Oryctolagus cuniculus: one gene and its partners. The protein of the gene in region 4 interacts with the protein of the main gene of each other region in a biochemical or structural test. Links are inferred from orthologs where the notes say so. Each region holds a gene or a part of one and is shown on either strand. Other genes may lie near its edges. The genes, in order: MAP4K1, FASLG, ERBB3, NCK1 and LCP2.

Region 1 (4,157 bases), on a different chromosome or scaffold from region 4:
TGAGAATGTTGGCTCCCTGGGGACGAGAGAGGGGCCCAGAAGCTGCTGGAGCCCCTGCTGTGTAGCCCAGCGCTGCCCTGCCCCCTGGCCCCACCACGAGGTCACTCCCGTCGGGTACCCAAGCGCCCAGCCCACCTTGATGTCTCGGTGGATCTTCTTCTGTGAGTGCAGGTAGGCCAGTCCCTGGGGAGAGGGTGGCAGGGGGTGCGTGAGTGCCCCCTGGGTGGGTGGGGCTGCAGTAGGGCCCCGCCTGCCCTGTACCCCCAGCCCCAGCCCCACCAGGGCCCAGGCTCTCCTCACCTGCAGCACTTCCCGACAGACGTAGCCGATCTGCAGCTCAGACAGGGAGCCCATCACTGCAAGGGGCACGCGGGCCAGGCCGGGTGTTGGGGGGAGCTGGGCAACCAGAGCCCCAGGGGGTCCCCCGGCCCCCGCCCACACCAGCTGAGAGGGTGCCATCGGGGAGGGGGAGATGGAAGGGTGCTCAGCGAGGAGCCAGGCTGGAGGGGGGCAGTCGCTCAGCTCCGCAGGCAGGTGCTGTGTCTGCTGGGTGCCAGGCACCAGGGCAGAGCCGGGAGGCGGAGGCAAACCGTCCCTGGCTTCGGGGAGAGCACAGTCTGGGGCGGGGAGGCAGGCAGCGGACCAGAAGGTGAGCAAAACGGAGCCCACGGGAGGCGCCAATAGCGAGAAGAAAGAGCCAGAACAGACAACAGGAAGTGCGTGTGGGCAGGGTTCTGACCCCGGGCGCAGCTGGTCAGCAGTGGCTATTCTAAGGTCACAGCCGTGAGGATGGGAGGGCAGGGGCCGGGGGCGGCAGCGGGAGGGGGTTGACAAGCAGTGACGTGGGGGGAGGAAGGTCGCAGGAGGCGAGCTTGGTCATCACGTGTGGGCTGAGACCCGGGGCCTCACGTGATGAGAGGTGTGGGCTTCTCGTGGGTGGGCTGTGGATGGCAGAGTGATGTGATTTTTGCCAAATGAGGAGAGGCAGAGAGAGAGAGAGAACGGAACAGGGACAGATCCAAACTGAGACAGAGACCAAGATGTGGCAAGTCAGCAAGAGAGAGACAGGAGGGGTGAAGAGGGGATCAAGACAGGGACAGACGGGCGCACAGGGGAGGTGGTCGGAGCAAGGGCAGGCCAAGAGCCAGAACTGGAAATTCAGCCCCTCATCCGAGGACGGTGGGGCATCTCCCAGGGGCCAGAGAACGCAGGCGCGCTGAGACCCAGGAATAAGCCAGAAATTGCAGAGACCAAGATGGGGACAGGGGTGGGGCGGGGCGGGGGAGGGTGGGGGGAATCACCGCCTGCAGAGAGACTGAGGCTGGCCAGGCCCGGGGCATGCTGGGTCATCATGACACCCTCAGCATCACCCGGGGCCAGAGAAGGGGCTCCTTGTTTAAAATCCAGACCAGAAAACCAGTTCCCAAGGACACGCAGAGGGATGGGGGGAGCGGGGAGGGGCCTGGATCCCCCACCCCCCTCTGACCTTGGTAGATGTCCTGGAGAGAGCCAGCCCCACAGAACTCCATGCAGATCCAGAGCTTCTGCAGCCTGCAGCGGTTGGAGAGTAGCAATCAGGCCAGTAGCAGCGGCAACGCGTTACCATCTGCAGCAGGGCCCTGGGCGCAAGACCATCAGCATCCGGTGGCATCCCTCCCTTTCCCTCTGCCCACCCCATTCCCATTTTACAGAGGGGGAAGTTGAGGCTCAGAAAGGAAACTGTGTTCAGGGGCGACTCGGCGCAAACCCAGGTCTTTGGCCTTCAGACCCATTGCACCCTCTGCTGTGTGAGAGCCCTCAGACCGTGGAAGTGAGCAGGAGGCGCGTGCGAGCAGGGGGCTGGGGGGGGGGGGGGGCTGAGGTTGTCTGGAGCGTTCATCCGAGGGGCAGGGAACTGCAGGGGTCCCGTTAAAGGAGCAGAGCGGGAAGCCAGGGGAGGGCCGAGTCTCCAGCAGAGCTGAGTTCAGGCCTGGCTCCTGGGAAGGCATTGATTTGGGGACCACCGTGCAGAAAAGGGGGCTCTGGGCAGAAAAGCGGGGTTTGGGACTCGGGGGTGAGCTCGAGGTGCCCCAGTTGAAGATGGGGCTCCAGAATCGGAGAGGAGGTCAGCGGGTGCCCCTTTGGGAGGGAGGACCCCAGGTCGGGGTAGGGGGAGGCCGTCACCAGAGGTAGCTCCCATGGTAGGCCACGATGTTGGCGTGCCGGCAGGTCTTCAATATGAGGATTTCCTTCTGCAGGGTAGAGACGTCGTCGTCTGCGAGCAGGGGCGGAGAGAAAAGAAAGCTGCCGGGAAGGCAGAGGAGGCCGGCCCAGCGGGGCCCGCAGGTGCGGCAGGGGAGGGGAGGGGAGGGCAGGGGTCCCGGGTCCTGCGCTCACCAGGCTCCATTTTCACCATCTTCAGCGCCACCAGGTCCCCCGACACCTTGTCTCGAGCCTTGGAAAGGGCAAGTTTGCAGCTGGAGGGTTTCCATCCGCCCGAGCCCACCCCCCACCCCAGCATCCCTGAGCCAAGGCTAAGCACTGGGGCCCTCCTGCACCCCCTTCCTTGCTTGGGCCTCAGCCCGAAGGTCCTGGGCTTCAGGGTGACGGAGAGACCGAGAGGCCTGCTCACCTTGAACACTTCCCCGTAGGTGCCGCCACCCAGCCGCTGAAGCAGGTCGTAGTGGTCCCGGGGGTCCCTGTTGAAGATGTCGGGGTCCGCGAGGTCCATCCCTGGGGGCTGGAGCTGGGCCTGTGCCCAGGGGCCAGCGGGGCCTCAGGGCTCCAGCTCTGGCACCTCCCTCCCTCCCTCCCTCCCTCCCTTCCCCACAAGCCCTGCACCGCCTCGCCTCCTCTCTGTGGGCTGTGGCCTCCCCCTTCCCCACTCTCGCTTCCTGTCCCAGCTGCAGGCCTGGGCAAACGGCTCCACCCCTGTCCCCTGGGCTCCGAAAGCCAGTGAGGAGCAGCTTGCCTCGGGACCCAGGGGACCCCCCTACGCCCCCAAGGCCGGGGGCTGGATGTAAATGAGATGCAAATAGCCTTAATTGTAACCTGGGGAGGGGAGCGCCCTAGCACCCCCTCTCCCCCCCTCCTCCAGTCCTGGGCTGCTGGAGGGTGTCTGGGGCTACTAGCCATGGGTGCTTACACTCGGAAGTGGCAGGTCTGCGCAGGGACGGCCGTGCAGCCTGCACACCTGTTCCCTAGGACACATCCGTGTGCCCAGAGTTTTGCAGAGGCCTAACCATGTGCATGCCTGGGTATCTGTGTACACGTGGAGTTACCCAGAGCGCACACTCCACGTATGTGGCCATGCATGTGTACCCGCGTGTGTAGTGTACAGTCTTGACACAAATAACTCAATGCGGCACACAGGGGGGTCTAAGCCTTCAGCCAGGGGGCGGAGGCTAGGAACCTTTTACCCCAGCCTCTGCCCAGCAGAGCGCACGGCTTCGTGGACCCCTATTCCCCTGTGGCTGGAGCTGGGACGGAGGGTGGGGACCACAGTTCAAAACTTGAAACGGAGAAGCTCGGGATCCTGTCTCAGGAGCCCAGGATGGTCGGGACTCGGCCGCGGCCCAAAAAAAAAAAAAGGCGGCTCCGTGCCTTCCCGCACAGTTCATTGGGTTCACGGCCGCGCGCAATACGACGTGCACGCACGCCGGCAGGGCTCGGCCTCTTCCTGGCGCCTTCGTGCGCGCGCGCGCGCGTCCCCGGGCCCGAAGCGGGACCTGCGAGGCCCGGGAAAAGCTCAGCCCCGCCTCCTCGCTCCCACGACGGCGGCTGCGCCCTGGGTCACACTGAGCTTTTTCTCTCGCGGTCGGTCCAGCTCGGGCGGAGCAAACGCGCAGGCGCCAATTACGCCTGCGGGGCGGGGGCGGATCACGTGTCAGCCGGAAAGCGTGGCCGCCGCCGCTTGCGCCTTCCGCCTCGGCGCGCCCGGCGGTGCCGAGCCGCGTACGTCGTTTCCGTTTCCGCTACGTCTTTCCTCTTCCGGCCTTGGGAGACCTGGTGCGGGCTGCTTGCGGAAGGCGGCGGGAGCCATGGCGATGTTTGAGCAGATGAGAGCGAACGTGGGCAAGTTGCTCAAGGGTATCGACAGGTCTGAGCCCGGTCAGGCGGAGCGCTCTGGCCACGCGGAATGGAGGAGCAAAGGGTGGCTCGTGGGGAGGGCATTCCCG
Region 2 (4,290 bases), on a different chromosome or scaffold from region 4:
GGCACCAAATGTAAGGAAAAGGGGGCCACAGAACAGAGAGGAGACAGGGTACAAACTCGCAGCCAGACCAAATTTATTCAGAGAAAATAAACTCACAGAGGTTGACAAACTGCCATCAAGCTCACAGATGGAACACGTGGCAGAAGCCCAGACCCTAGCAGGCTGGGCCTGTTTATAACTTAGGTGGGCTGGGGTGGGGCTGGGGGCAGTAGGCCGAGGTGAGTTTCTCCCTATTGGTTCTTCAGGTTTGGCCCACTGGCTTCCAAACCTGGGGAAGAATGCGGGGGGGGGGGGGGGGGGGGGGGACAATACAGGGAAGGAGACTGAACTCCTCTCTTGAAAGAAGACAGGGTAACAAGAACCTAAAGTGGCTGAGGCTCCTGTCCTTGTTGCATCAGTTCCTGTCACCATATGGTAGACTTGGATTGAGTTCCCAACTCCTGACTTCAGCCATGCCCAGTCCCAGCTATTGTAGGCACTTGGGAGTGAATCTGGAAGATGAAAACTTCCTCTTTCTCTCTCTCTCTCTCCCTCCTTCCCCACTCTCTGATGCAATACAATTTTGAAATTCATTAATAGAGTTTTCATTGTACACATTTTCCATGAACTTCTTGAAAACCCCTTGTACATTTGGTATTGACGTGGTCCACGTGAGAGAGCCAGAACGACAGTCACAGAAATCTCACAGTGTGATGTAGAAACTAATGAAACTGAAAAGTAGACATCTTCAAAAGAACAGAAATTGAAGATTTGTGGAAATTTTATACAGTTTTTATGGGAGAATGATTAAGAGTGAGGCTGAGTACTTGGAAGTTATTGGCATATTAATGGTATTTGAGACCAAAAGAAAGGGTGAGGTCATAGCCCAGGCACAGTTGCCATCTTTAGCAAAAAACAAAGTTAAAAAAAGGACACCCTTTAAAATTTGAATTTCAGATAAACAATGAATAACATTTTAGTACAACTCTTGCATTGTTTAGGACATACATACCCTGAAGCTTATTTGTTGATCTGAAATTCAAGCAATTCTAGTAAACATAACAGCAGCTATGAACAGGGCTGCCTACAGGGGCCAGAAAGCCATTTCACAGGTGAGGTGGTGTGGGAAACACAGTACAGGGTGGAGGGACCTTGGGGGTGGAGGTTGGGCTACCTGGTCACCTGTGTCTCATTCCTGGGGACACTTGCTCCTCACCTCCAGCTGACTGAATTTGTGGAGATGGCCTTAAAAATATTTACAACAGAATGAAAATAGGTATTTTAATGTGGACTGTCTTGATTTTACAAATGAGAAACAAATCATCAAGAAGTAAAAACAGAGCTAGGCTGTGAGATCCACAAAGCATATCTGATCTAATCTCTAGAGTGGGCGGGGCAGGGTCTAATCTGTAAATTATGGTGATTTGCAGGGTTCGGGTAAACAGTGCTTGGTGTGGGGAAGGGATGCGGGAGGGGGATGATTTCCTCTTGCAAGTGACTCCAGTCTCCCCGCTCAGCGCCACTCTCCCTGCGCCAGCACTGCGCCCAGTGCTGCCCTGCTCTGCAGGCCCGAGGAAGGCGGTCACGGCTCCCTGCCTTTTCAGGTAGCGCAGCCACGGCAGCTGTGGCTCCGGGGGCTTTCATCAGAAAGTTGTGGGCGGAAACTTCCAGGGGTTGGCTCTGAGCTTCTTGAGGCTTCTCAGCTGCAGATATAAGGTGAGTGGGTGTCTCTCTGAGAACTAGCAAGAGAAGATGAGAGAGAGAGAGAGATTGATTGGTGTTTCCCTTGGTGTGGAAACTCTATAAAGCGAGAGCTGGCTGTTCCTCTCTTAACAGTGAGCAGCAGGAGTTCCTTCTTCGACATTGCAGCCTCCACAGGACTGAGAAGTAAAATCCTTGGGAGTCCCTGGCTGCCATGCAGCAGCCCTTCAGTTATCCATATCCCCAAATCTACTGGGTGGACAGCACTGCCAGCTCTCCCTGGGCCCCTCCAGGGTCAGTTCTCCCCTGTCCATCCTCTGTACCTGAAAGGCCTGGTCAAAGAAGGCCACCACCACCACTGCCACCGCCGCCGCCACCGCTACCACCACCACCACTGCCCCCGCTGCCCCCACTGCCCCCGCTGCCCCCACCACCCCTGAAGAAGAGGAAGGACCACAGCACAGGCCTCTGCCTCCTTCTGATGTTTTTCATGGTCCTGGTGGCCCTGGTTGGATTGGGGCTGGGGATGTTCCAGCTCTACCACCTGCAGAAGGAGTTGGCCGAGCTCAGAGAGGTAAGCTGTGTCCAGCAATCACTGGGGTGGGAGGAGGGCTCTGCTGCTGTGGGATGGAGCCTCCTGGGGTCTACCCGGACCACTGTCTTGCTTGCAAAGTGCTTTTCAAGCTTTACTGTTTGTCTTGGAAAGGGATTGTTCTTGTCGTTCTATTCTATAGGTAGAGAAATGGAGGGTCCTATGAATGAAGAGGTATTTTCTGTCTTGTAAAGAATTTGAGCCATATGGTTTTGCCTTTTTCAGTTGTCATGTCAGTCTGTGAAGCCACTGACCTCAGATCTAGTGATTCAAGAAATAAAAAAAAAACTTTGAGTCTGCTTAGAAGTGAATGTATTCAAATGACCAGACTGAATTTCCTTGAAAACATTTTAAAAAATCTGGTACCATTTCAAATGACAAAACTGAGGGACAATGAGACAAACTTGTTTGGCTAAAGTCTGAGTTAGGAAAGGTTCTGAGGAGTTTGGAATCTCTTTCGGGGGCTGGCTTATTTGGCAATTCCTCCACTGATTAAAGAGCTTCCTATTTATCATACATCTTTTCTCTTTCTTCCGGTAGTCCTTCAGTCAAAGGCACACAGCATCATCATCTATGGAGAAGCAAACAGGTGAGTCCTTTTATTCATGTGATTTGAATTTCCAAAGATAATCCTTAGCACTGAACATTGTTGGGGGGATACCTTGAATCCTATCCCATTCCTGGGCTTGTGAATATTATGAGAAGAGTCTTGGACAATTCTGAACCCCTGGTCAGTGTGGTTTCTTGAGCATCTTTTAAAATATGAAGTGAATTTCACTGCTCAAAATCAGTGTAGCTGAGTGTTTCACACAATGCAAAATACTTTTGACTTGACTTTGGGATGAGACACACATACATAATCCTGGAGCCCTGCCATTTGGGCAGCTGGTTGCAGGCCCATCTCCTTCCTCAGGAGTCCTAGTTAGGTATGGGCAAAGAGAGAAACTTCTGGGAAATGTCCTCTCCTCTTCTCAACTCCAGAAAAGAGATCACTCAAGAGTCAAGCTTCATTTAAGACATTGTACAAGATTTAGCTAAGCTTTTGATAAGTGGACAATTTCCCACATAGCATGGTTCCTTTGAAGTCATGGGGAGGCCTGGGAGAAGATTTAACCCATATTCAAAGGATTATTCCACTTTACCTATGAGATGTTTTTGACAATAAAGGAAAGTCCTTTGTATGAAATCCAGTACAAGAAAAAGGTAAAAGTGTTGAATTCTGGCTTCATTAAATTTCAGAGCATAGATTTAGACACTGTGGACAAGTATATTTTAGGATTTGCTCCATTTGTATTAAACCAAGATTAATTGACTTTTTAAACTTGGTTAGAACTGAGAGGGATCTTAAAGATCATCAGTTCCACCCATTTCATTTCTCAGAAGAGAAACAAAACATCAGACAGATTGGGTGATGTGCCCATGACTACTGGGTGGCGCTGGGGCTAGAAGGGATGTAGGCTCCTGCTGCCTTGGCACTTCCAGGACTTTCTAGCATGTGGACTGGTGCCTCATGGAAAGACAGAAACTCTTGCTTGACTGTAATTGCCAGGGGATGAGAAAGAAATGGAAAGCAGGACACTTCTGCAAAATCAGTAGGTAATTTTTTTCCTTAGAAATGTGGAAGAAGAGAGCAGGCAGGGCTAGCCATCCATTAAGTGCTGCCAGTTTCAATCTCAGGATAGCCTACTGCAGGTGGCCCAGGTCAGCGACTTCCCTGGAGCATAAACTCATGTAGGAGCCATCACTGAGATGCTCTGGCCCCTTGTTCTGATGTGGTAGAAACTCAGGAGGGGCACAGAGTGGAAACACTTTTTAGAAAAACGCAGCCTCTGGAGGACTTCTAATGTCACTTTGAAAATCAGGGGACTGTGGCTAGGGAAACAGGTACCTCATTACTCATCTCTCACCCACTCTCTGGAGGCGTTTTATTGGTTAAAAGTTAAATGAACAGATGAGTCAGGTCTACCTACCCCACTAAACTCTTATCTTCTCTGCATCAACCCAGACAGATCAGAAAT
Region 3 (3,514 bases), on a different chromosome or scaffold from region 4:
AGTCCCTACTCACCTTTATGACTAGATACCGTGGTGGATCTCGGGCCATCCTGGTGAACTCATTGGCTAGTTCTTTAAAGGTTGGGCGAATGTTCTCATCAATCATCCAACCTAGGATAAGACACAGGAGGTAAAAAACCGTCAGTGTGCATGGAGCCGTAAGAGGAGATGGGAGGGAGAACAGTTAACAAATAGCTGGGATTTTCAGCCTTTTGGCTAAGATCAACTGTGAAAAAATGGCTTGGGGTGGGGGTGGGGGTGGGCAGTGCTATGGCATAGTGGGTAAAGCCACCTCCTGCAATTCTGGTGTCCCATATGAGCACCAGTTCCTATTCAGCTCTCGGCTATGGCCTGGGAAAGCAGTGGAAGATGGCCCAAGTCCTTGGGCCCTTGTACCCGCGTGGGAGACCCAGAAGAAATTCCTGGCTCCTAGCTTCAGATCAACGCAGCTCCGGCCTTTGGGGCCAATTGGGGGAGTGAACCAGCAGATAGAAGATCGATCTCTCTCTTAAAAAAAAAAAAAAAGGCTGGGGGAGGGGGGGATGTCGGGCCAGCAATTTAGCCTCTTCCTTGGGTCATCCACATCCTATATCTGAGTGCTGGTTTAAGTCCCAACTACTAGGCTTCCTATCCAGCTCCCTGCTAAAGCACCAGGAAGCAGTGGATGAAGGCTCAAGTACTTGAGTCCCTGCCACCCATGTGGGATACCTGGATGGAGTTCCTGGATACTGTGACAGCCTGGCGCAGCCCTGGCTGTTGCAGTCATTTGAGGAATAAACCAACAGATAGATCTGTCACTCTACCTTTCAGAAAAATAAATAGGGGCCGGTGCTGTGGCGCAGCAGGTTAACACCCTGGCCTGAAGCGCCAGCATCCCATATGGGTGCCAGTTCTAGTCCTGGCTGTTCCTCTTCCAATCCAGCTCTCTGCTATGGCCTGGGAAAGCAGTAGAAGATGGACCAAGTCCTTGGGCCCCTGCACCCACTTGGGAGACTTGGAAGAAGCTCCTGGCTCCTGGCTTCAGATTGGCATAGCTCCAGCCATTGCGGCCATTTGGGGAGTGAACCAGTGGATGGAAGACCTCTCTACCTCTCTCTGTAACTCTTTCAAATAAATCTTTAAAAATAAATAAATAAATAAGTATTTGAAAAAAATTGACTGGAGCCAGCAGGCGACTCACACTTGACCATGACCATGTAGACATCAATGGTGCAGATCTGGGGCTGTGCCAACCGTTCCCCCTTCTCCAACAGGTCTGGTACTTCTGCTAATCGCAGCCCTGCATAGGGCTCTGCACCGAAGGTCATCAGCTCCCAAACTGTCACACCTGGTAAGAAAACAGTACCCATAGGCAATGAAGTAAAAAGGGAGGCAGAAGTTGGTCAGACACAAGATGTGAAGGGCTTAGAGAGTCTAAGAGAGGGTATCTCCAAAGGCAGTTGTGGGGGCTGGCACTGTGGTGTAGCAGGCATCCCATATGGGCACCGGTTCGAGTCCCGGCTGCTCCGCTTCCAATTCAGCTCTGTTATGGCCTGGGAAAGCAGAAGATGGCCCAAGTCCTTGGGCCCCTGCCACCCACATTGGAGACCCAGAAGAAGCTCTTGGCTCCTGACTTTGGATTGGCGCAGCTCTGGCCATTGTGGCCATCTGGGGAGTGAACCAGTGGATGGAAGGCCTCTCCTCTCTGCCTCTCTACAACTCTGCTTTTCAAATTAATTAATTAACTAAAAAAAAAAAAAAAAGGTAGTCGTGGAATTTGGGACAGTGATGGCATGAAGGCACCCAGATGCACTGACCGTAGCTCCAGACGTCACTCTGGTGTGTGTATTTCCCAAAGTGGATACTCTCAAGAGCCATCCACTTAATTGGAGTCTGGGGAGTAAAGACAAAGGTGTCACTAGTCCATTTCCACAAATTTTCTTAGCATTTCCAAACCCCAAGCATGCTATCGTTTTTCCTTCTTGCCGTCTGCACTTAAATTTCTGCCAACCCCACCTTGCCCTCCATGAATTTAACGGTGAAGCATCTGCTTGCTCTGAGAGACTTCCCCCGTGCTTTGTTTACACTACCCCACCTCTCACGAGGCCCTCTGTGTCCCCTCACCTTGGCTTCACTGTGGAGGAGCTGCTTATCATCTGGGGGCAGCAGGTCAGCCACACCAAAATCTGCCACCTGAACCTGACTGGCTGACTTCAGCAGCACGTTGCGGGCAGCCAGGTTCCTGTGCACCATACCGTGCTCCTCAAGATAGTACATGCCCTGTAGGGGAAGGAAATAGCCCCAGGCTCGGAGGAAATCCACTGCGGACCTCCTGAATGCCCCCAGACCCTTGAGGGTCCTCTAAGCACTGCAAAGCTGTCATCTTCTCACCCCTGCCCTGCCTGCTGCAGCAAGGTGGCTCCCGCAGGACTCCCGCCATGCTCCTCTCACCTTAGCGATTTGTACGCCCCAGTTGAGCAGCAGCTGTGGCCCCAGCGACTCCCGCTGCTGCCTCACATGATCCAGCAGGGAACCCAGAGGCAGGTATTGAGTGACGAGCTGCAGCGATGACCCTGGGCACAGTCCCAGCAGCCGTACGATGTGGGCGTGGTCCAGGCTGCCGATGGCCAGCATGTGCTAAGAGACACGGGAGATGTTATCCAGGAATCACGGGCACACCCCAACCAGGGCGTCCCCGGACATTCAGGTGCATCAGCATGTCTAACACAGTATCTGCTAACACAGGCTGTGCTTGTGTCTGATCTTGTCCCCTCTCTCACCGGTGCACAGCATTCCTTTACTTACATCCGTCACGGCCTGAAAACTTTGCCGTCCACTCTTGTCTTCGATGACTTTAATGCACACTGGAATCTTGATGGATTCACCCTCGGGGATCCACACACCCTGGGAAGTTTGGGGCAGGAGTCAGCCTAGGGTCATTCTCCCCAGGGTCAGCCCTTTGCCCCCAGATCCATTCCCTACCTCCCCAGACTTCCTGGGGGTCACTCACTTTGTGCACAGTTCCAAAGACGCCGGAACCAAGCACTTTAAGCTTCCTCAGCTCTGTCTCTTTGAAGATTCTGGCCAAGACTTTGTTAGCCTTCTCGCTGGGATCCAGAGGCTCTAAGCTCTGAGGAGCAGATGGGAAAGAGAAACTCAGGAAAGCCCACTCACATGTCCCATACCAACCTGCTCCCCGCAATAGCTACCAGGAGCAGCAGAGCCCAGGGTGTGGGGGCAGGAATGGGAATTATGTTTAGCCCTGGAAAGCACTATGGGCATATCTAGGAATAACAGATCCCAAGGACTGAAGAAGCTGTGCTTGCGAGCTCAGGAGTCAGGAGGGGTAGGTTTTCCCTTTGCTGGGGAGCTGGGAAGTCGGCACCTTGAGTACCTTTTATCCAGTGCTCTGTGCGTTTCAAAGAACTTTCATGTGCATTATCCCCTTTCTCCCTAACAGTCTCCCTGGAAGGATGAGTGCTATTTGCGCTGTACAGATGTGCAAACTTAAGCACAGAGAAGGCACATCAAAGTC
Region 4 (2,354 bases):
CCATTATTAAAATGTTGATGGTTACCTGCTTAAATTTTAATCTCCAGAATAAATACTGGAGAGAAAAGCTGTGACCATAAAATACAACTGGTTTTCTTCTGTAGCCTACAGAAGTAGATTCAATACTTTCCAGTAGCCTCTCATCCAGACACCCACTCTCCTATCTGGTAAATAAAATAGAACTCCCTAATCATAAGCACATTCCACTTTTCCCTCAGATATACAATTTTAGTGTCCCAGTGAACAAATGTAGGAAATGAAAACAGGAAACACTATTCTAACAATTACAGATGTTTAGGGAGAAAAACTATAGGTATCTGACTGCCTCCTATTTCCCCAAAAGTCAGACGTAATTTATTTCACCCTGGTATAAATATAACATGTACTTATACAAGATGCTTTGGTAAAATAACACAAGGAGAGAAAGCAACACTACAGCAGCTGTTTAGTTTTAAGCTAAATATTTTAGAGATTGCTCTGTTCTCTTGAATAACCACAAAAAACACCTCCCAAAATGAAGAATTTAGTGATTTTTGCTTCCAACAGTTATAAATTAAAATTGTACAAGCTGTTTTCTAACCCATGTCCCACCTGCTTTGTAGTACATTGAAGATAATGAATGCATTTTTTAAAAATAATGGCAGACATAATACTTTACTTTGTATTTACAATGGCTGTGGCAAATACAATACCTGAAAATAATTTCTAATTTTTCATTTATTATTGCTATTTAGTCACAGAAAAGATTAACATTCTCCAAGAAATTTATTTTACCATATGCTATATATATAATTTTATATGAAGAGAAACCATTGCAGAACTAACAGGGTGCCACTAAAAGGAAATAAACAAATGGCAATAGAGGAATTCTTCCATATAAAGACTTCTGATCTGTATTATTTGACTTTTTTTCAAAATACAAAACCTCAATATTAGAAGCAAAAAGGAAAAAGTAAATAACAGAAGACCAAAGATAAGGAATTGTTCTATGTGAATGCATTGCATACGTAGCATATGTGAATGAGCTGAGTTATAATAAAAATACCTATGGTATATAGTCAATTCTCATACAGAGTTAGAAATAGCAATTTCCAATCAAGTATGACTGGACCAACGTTATCTCAGTCTTCAATTACATGATGAATTAAAGCTGTACAGCAGTCACTTCTGAGCAGCAGTATCATGATAAATGCTTGACAAGATATAATTTTTCTCCTTGTTCACTTGTAAAAATTGGTGCCTTTTTGTAATGTTCTACAAGTTCTTCCATGGTGCTGAATTTACGCTGCCCAATGCAGTAGACAGTCTCTTTGAGTTGAACTTTAAAATGCTTGTTTTTCCCTTGTGCTTTTAGTGATACAGAGAAATCATTTGGCTGAAAGAGAAAAAAAAAAAAACATTCTGAAAGCCATCTATCAGCATTTTTATATTAAACTAATAACATAAAATGTGATCACTTACTAAAGTACAAGTACCATGCAAAATTATTTACATGCTAAATAACCTATCTCCTTTACTCCTCAAAACAAATTTTTTTAAAGACGGAAAAACACTAAGTTGCCCAGTATCATCCATCCAGCTAACAAAAGAGTCTCAAGTGAAATCCATGTAGTCAAGAGTCTCATCATCCGTGGCACCCATGGCATAACATAATGGAAAATCTTTAGTTTAACAGTTGAATCACTAGAGCTATATTCTCTCCAGACTATTGGAGAAACACATGAAAAAAAAAAAAATCTAAGGGATCCAGCCTACAGCTCTTCAATTTGTTGCTAATAGTAACTGATAATACTCTGAATACTCAGATAATACTCTGAAGTCTCAAAAATGAAGGAAATGTCAATGAGAACTGAACTCTAATGAGAGGTCACAAACTCAAATGCCTACAAGGGTCAAAAGAGTAATGTAAATAAGAGGTATAGGGAGGGAAGAGTAGATAGACAGTGTATGGCCAATTTAAAACAAGCGGTCATTTCCTCAGCTGTGAGTGTGATCTTGCAGGAACACAGCCTCAATGCTGGCAAGTATTCCAATTTTATTTTACTCTTACTGTGTATATATCTGATAGGTATGTGTACACGTACACAAACACCCCAGTGGGCGGGCAGGGATTCACTGGTTTCACTCCCACGCAAATGCCTACAATGGCCAGGGTGGGGCCAGAACTCTGCTGGGAGCCAGAACTCAATCCAGGTCTCTCATACAGGTGGTCGGGAAACCAATTACTTGAGCCATCACCACTGTCTCCCAAGGCCTGCATTAGCAAGAAGCTGTAATCAGGAGCTGGAGCTGAGAACCCAATCTCGGTACTCCATCGTGGGATGCAGGTTTTTTTTTGGACAGGCAGAGTGGAC
Region 5 (4,059 bases), on a different chromosome or scaffold from region 4:
AGAGCCCTGCGATCCACATACCAATGAGTGGCCAGTTAACACAGCAGGAAACTGGGAGCAATAAACATTTTGATACCTCTGTCTGCTGAATGCCTCACATACACTATTTCCTTTACTCCTCTCAACCATTCCACTGGGTTTGTTACCCTTCATGTCTGTTTAATTGCCTGCTTTGGTAGAACTTGTGCCTACCAATTGCCTTCCAATCATCTACCAATCAACCCGTGAAATGATACATTTTATTTCCAAGATCCATCCCCAGATGACCCTGTGTTGAGCAATGTTTTCTCTCTTGAGGACTGACTTGCTCAGAGAGGCGAAGTAGCTAAGGGAAGGCCACCAAACTAGCAGGTGGCAGAGCCAGGGTTCCAACAAGGTGTGTCTGACTCCAGAGTTGGGCAGCGTGGTATCACTGAGGGAAGCCTGACCCTGACACGTGGGTAGAAGCTGCACCCACCAAACGCCTACCCACTGATGCGTTAAATGGGTATGCTTGATCACTAAGATCCATCCCCAAATGAACTTGCAGTCAGTGCGCTCCTGGTTCTGTCTCTTGGGGACTGAGATGGCCTGGGACTTCCAGGGTCACAGATTCCCCTCTGCCTCCTTGTTCCTACCTGGGTCCTTTTGTGCCGGGAGGGGAACCTGGCCCAGTGCTATGCAGTTTTTGCAAGGTCTTAGAACTCCAAGAAGAGAATCATCTCTTCCCCGAACTCAGACAGAGAGCTGTGTCCTGCCCTCCAGTCTGTCCTATCGCCCTGCGCTGACAGGAACTTTGTCTACAGACTCTCTGTCGGTCAGCTGAGTTGTGAAATTTTTCTGACCACATTTGAAATAGCCCCTCAGCCTCTCCTGGGCCTTTCCCTCTGTAACTCTCAACTCCTTTCTCCCTTCTTTATTGCAATAACGTACCACATACTTCCATCTGGGCAAATTTTACCTTTGATCGCCCTATCTCAGAGAAGTATTAGAAACACTCTTCAAAGGCCAGTCGGGCCAGTTGTCCAATGATCTTTGCATCTACAAACCCAAAACCTAGTTTTGTTATGACTTTATACATGTGTGGGGTGGAGGCAGAGGGGACAACAGAAGTGAAATGCACAAGAAACAGAAAACGACAGGCTCTGTGGGGCTGTGCCCCTACCATGCCACACCTGGTTCAAGGTTTTTGTTTTTAGGCTGGGGAAGAACCATCATCACTGCAAATACCTTGGTACTATGAGACCTCAGGTTCAGCTATGTGTCCCAGAGAGCCTATTCCACCCCCGCGGGGCTCAGTTTCCCCAGGAAAAACAGTTAAGTGAGATGACATGTAAAGTCTTAGTGCTACAAGCTCTTCTTTATGCTGGTCTGCAGTATCAACTAAATGTGGTGCCAGCCTGCAGGGAAGAGGATGTTAGAAGAGCAAATGTCCCTTCGGCTGGTGCTGTGGTACAGTGGGTTAACGCCCTGGCCTGAAGCGCCGGCATCCCATATGGGCTGCTGCACTTCCGATCCAGCTTTCTGCTATGGCCTGGGACAGCAGTAGAAGATGGCCCAAGTCCTTGGGCCCCTGCACCCACATGGGAGACCTGGAGGAAGTTCCTGGCTTCTGGCTTTGGATTGGCATAGCTCCGGCCGTTGCAGCCAACTGGGGAGTGAACTAGCAGATGGAAGACCTCTTTCGCTCTTTCTCTCCCTCTCTCTCTGCCTCTCCTTTCTCTGTGTAACTCTGACTTTCAAACAAATAAATAAATCTTAAAAAAGAGAGCAAATGTCCCCTGCAAGGCATCCTATGCTAGAGACAGGAACAGAGGATCCATACTTGCTCGGGCAGGCTTGTGTCCTGTCATCCCCACCAGCAGGTGGACAAGCAGACGATCTTTGAGCATCTCTTCCAAGTCTGGAAGGTAGGACAGCAACCCTGGTCCCGGCTCCACTGCAGTGAGACTCTGATCTATGTAAGAACTTGAGGACCCAGCTTTCTGGGCCCTGAGCAGTGAGTGGCCAAACGCCATGTCTAGCGTTGTTCACCCTCTACCCCTGCCTCCTTCCCTGCCTGTTGTTCTGCACCCAGAGCACCAGGTCTCCCCTTTCTAGAATGTAGTTCTCTTCATCTCAGAGCACAGACTGAAACTGCACAGAAGTGACTCCAATCCTTCTGTCACTACCACCTGTAGTCCCTGTGGCTTTGGGCTGTTTAGCTTCCTTGAGCCTACCTTGAAGCTGAGCCACAGGGATGACAATATTGACCTCAGAAGATTGTCAAGAGGGATCAATGGCACAGTGCTGCAGTGTACCGAGTTCAGGCCCTGGCACATGGTAGGCACCTACTCATTCAAGAGCTCCTGCTCCCACCCTCCTCTCCAGAACTCACTGCAAGGAGCTCTCAGTGGTCTCCCATGGCGCTCACTCTCCCAACAAGGCTGCCGAGAGGCCAGTCACTCCACAGCTGTCTTTTACACCTCTTGTCTTCTGCCCAGCCCATGGAGGGCACTCCCAGCCCGACCACCAACAAAAGAGTGGGTCTCACCTTCTTAAAGTAGTCAGCAAGGCTGTCAGGGTCCCAGGCGAGGACTTCGGAGCGAAAGGGCACGTTCCTCAGTGCCATGGCCGCTGTCTTAGGAGGGGGCTCACAGGTTGAGCGTGGATGCTGCACCCATGGACAGAGAACCCCAAATCCAGATCTTGGAGGCGTCCTTGGCTCTCCCAACTCCCAGCTGCCCCTGGATCGGCCTTGTTGGAGCAGACGTCTTTTCTGCTGTAGTCGGATCCCAGAAAGCAGCAGCTTCCTCTGCGAACAAATATGGTCTCTTCTCAGAAAACGACTTGGCTAGTTTCCTTTACCACTTCCTCTGCTGGCTTCTAAATAAGTAAACAAGGAAGCCCAGCTCTGAGGGCTTGAGATGCAGACAGAGTGACAGGGCAGGTCATTCTCCACCTCGCCCGTGGTCCTGGGCACCCCTGCCCAGCAGGAGGGGCCATGAAGGGCGCTTAAACTCCGAAGCCAGCCCAAGCATTTTGCTGTTAAAACTCCTGTCCCTTCAGCCCCACCCCATGGGTCTACACCACGTTCTTGCTCTGCTGGGGCTTTGCAGATGAATATCTATTCATCTGACAATTGACCTAAAATATAGACAACTTCCAGCAACAGGGAGCTGTGGTGTGGGGGGACGCATGCATGATGCCCCTTCTTCCCTCTTCTCTCAGCCCTAGTCTCTAGCAGTCTCTGCCTGCTACCATTGAAATGAGAGGGTGAGTCTGTAGTGCGTCAGGCATCCAAGGCTGAGCAAGGCGCTACCCTGGGCCAACCCGGGTTCCCTTCTGATGGGAGCTTCTCTGTGCTGTGCAACCTTAGGCAAGGACTTAAAATCTGGGGAGCTCAGTTTCCCTATATGTAAAATAGGAAAGCAGAGGAATTGCCTTATACACACATAACAAATAGATGCATTTAACTTGAGAACCTTCAAATGAAAAAATCAGAAAGCTAGAAGTGACAATTGCTACAGCTGGTGCCTTGGATTCCACTGTGTGTTTACAGCTCATGTTTTATTCACTGTTGATGACATCATGTGTTTCAATCAAAAAGCACATTCCCTGGAGACAGGAGTAGGAATCTTCTAATTTCTTCACCAGTCTCAGACTGTGCATTTCTATAGACGGAGCAACTTGTTGTCAGACAGCCAAGCCAGGGTCTAAAAGGCAATGCATTTGTGCAATGCAGCAGTGGCCTCTGAACAAAATAGAGCTACTTCACTCGGTTCTACACACTCACTCTCTCTCTCACACACACACACATAGCCACCAGTGCTGGTGCTTTGGGAAAGAATCAAGCTTTGTTGCCTTACTGAGCAATGCTATGACAGTCCCTGCATGGTGCCTTCCTGAAGGTTTTTCAAGGGTAGCTTTGGCCACACACACTCTACATCTTATACACAATGTAAGGAGCCCACTGTCATGTCATGCTCCTGCCTCCCTAGCCGGTTGCGAGCTTAAGTGAGGCACACATTTAGTCCCAGGCCCGGCACCTGGACAATGGTGCATGGGCTGGTGATAGCCTCACCTCAGTGGGTGCTGGGG

The links.
Region 1: the proteins of NCK1 (region 4) and MAP4K1 form a complex in vitro, tested with the Homo sapiens proteins (2 studies listed by BioGRID, with this or other methods). The link is inferred for Oryctolagus cuniculus from reciprocal best matches to the Homo sapiens genes NCK1 and MAP4K1.
Region 2: the proteins of NCK1 (region 4) and FASLG form a complex in vitro, tested with the Homo sapiens proteins (2 studies listed by BioGRID and IntAct, with this or other methods). The link is inferred for Oryctolagus cuniculus from reciprocal best matches to the Homo sapiens genes NCK1 and FASLG.
Region 3: the proteins of NCK1 (region 4) and ERBB3 form a complex in vitro, tested with the Homo sapiens proteins (2 studies listed by BioGRID and IntAct, with this or other methods). The link is inferred for Oryctolagus cuniculus from reciprocal best matches to the Homo sapiens genes NCK1 and ERBB3.
Region 5: the proteins of NCK1 (region 4) and LCP2 form a complex in vitro, tested with the Homo sapiens proteins (2 studies listed by BioGRID and IntAct, with this or other methods). The link is inferred for Oryctolagus cuniculus from reciprocal best matches to the Homo sapiens genes NCK1 and LCP2.

What each region holds. Positions count from the first base shown.
Region 1 is NC_091449.1:16,067,380-16,071,536, reverse strand, and holds the start of MAP4K1 (mitogen-activated protein kinase kinase kinase kinase 1), read right to left. Parts: upstream 2,801-4,157; 5' UTR 2,711-2,800; coding exon 2,612-2,710; intron 2,435-2,611; coding exon 2,377-2,434; intron 2,255-2,376; coding exon 2,164-2,254; intron 1,552-2,163; coding exon 1,487-1,551; intron 357-1,486; coding exon 301-356; intron 184-300; coding exon 136-183; intron 17-135; coding exon 1-16. Other genes in the region: EIF3K (eukaryotic translation initiation factor 3 subunit K), read left to right, coding at 3,339-4,078. UniProt on the Homo sapiens protein: Serine/threonine-protein kinase, which plays a role in the response to environmental stress. Appears to act upstream of the JUN N-terminal pathway.
Region 2 is NC_091438.1:1,340,219-1,344,508, forward strand, and holds the start of FASLG (tumor necrosis factor ligand superfamily member 6), read left to right. Parts: upstream 1-1,487; 5' UTR 1,488-1,894; coding exon 1,895-2,254; intron 2,255-2,812; coding exon 2,813-2,861; intron 2,862-4,290. UniProt on the Homo sapiens protein: Cytokine that binds to TNFRSF6/FAS, a receptor that transduces the apoptotic signal into cells. Involved in cytotoxic T-cell-mediated apoptosis, natural killer cell-mediated apoptosis and in T-cell development.
Region 3 is NC_091442.1:58,896,805-58,900,318, reverse strand, and holds part of ERBB3 (receptor tyrosine-protein kinase erbB-3), read right to left. Parts: intron 3,110-3,514; coding exon 2,990-3,109; intron 2,884-2,989; coding exon 2,785-2,883; intron 2,617-2,784; coding exon 2,431-2,616; intron 2,260-2,430; coding exon 2,104-2,259; intron 1,873-2,103; coding exon 1,797-1,872; intron 1,328-1,796; coding exon 1,181-1,327; intron 112-1,180; coding exon 14-111; intron 1-13. UniProt on the Homo sapiens protein: Tyrosine-protein kinase that plays an essential role as cell surface receptor for neuregulins.
Region 4 is NC_091435.1:144,670,178-144,672,531, forward strand, and holds the end of NCK1 (SH2/SH3 adapter protein NCK1), read right to left. Parts: intron 1,376-2,354; coding exon 1,181-1,375; 3' UTR 508-1,180; downstream 1-507. UniProt on the Homo sapiens protein: Adapter protein which associates with tyrosine-phosphorylated growth factor receptors, such as KDR and PDGFRB, or their cellular substrates. Maintains low levels of EIF2S1 phosphorylation by promoting its dephosphorylation by PP1.
Region 5 is NC_091437.1:57,184,409-57,188,467, forward strand, and holds the start of LCP2 (lymphocyte cytosolic protein 2), read right to left. Parts: upstream 2,804-4,059; 5' UTR 2,591-2,803; coding exon 2,513-2,590; intron 1-2,512. UniProt on the Homo sapiens protein: Adapter protein primarily involved in signaling pathways within T-cells, as well as other immune cells such as platelets, mast cells, and natural killer (NK) cells.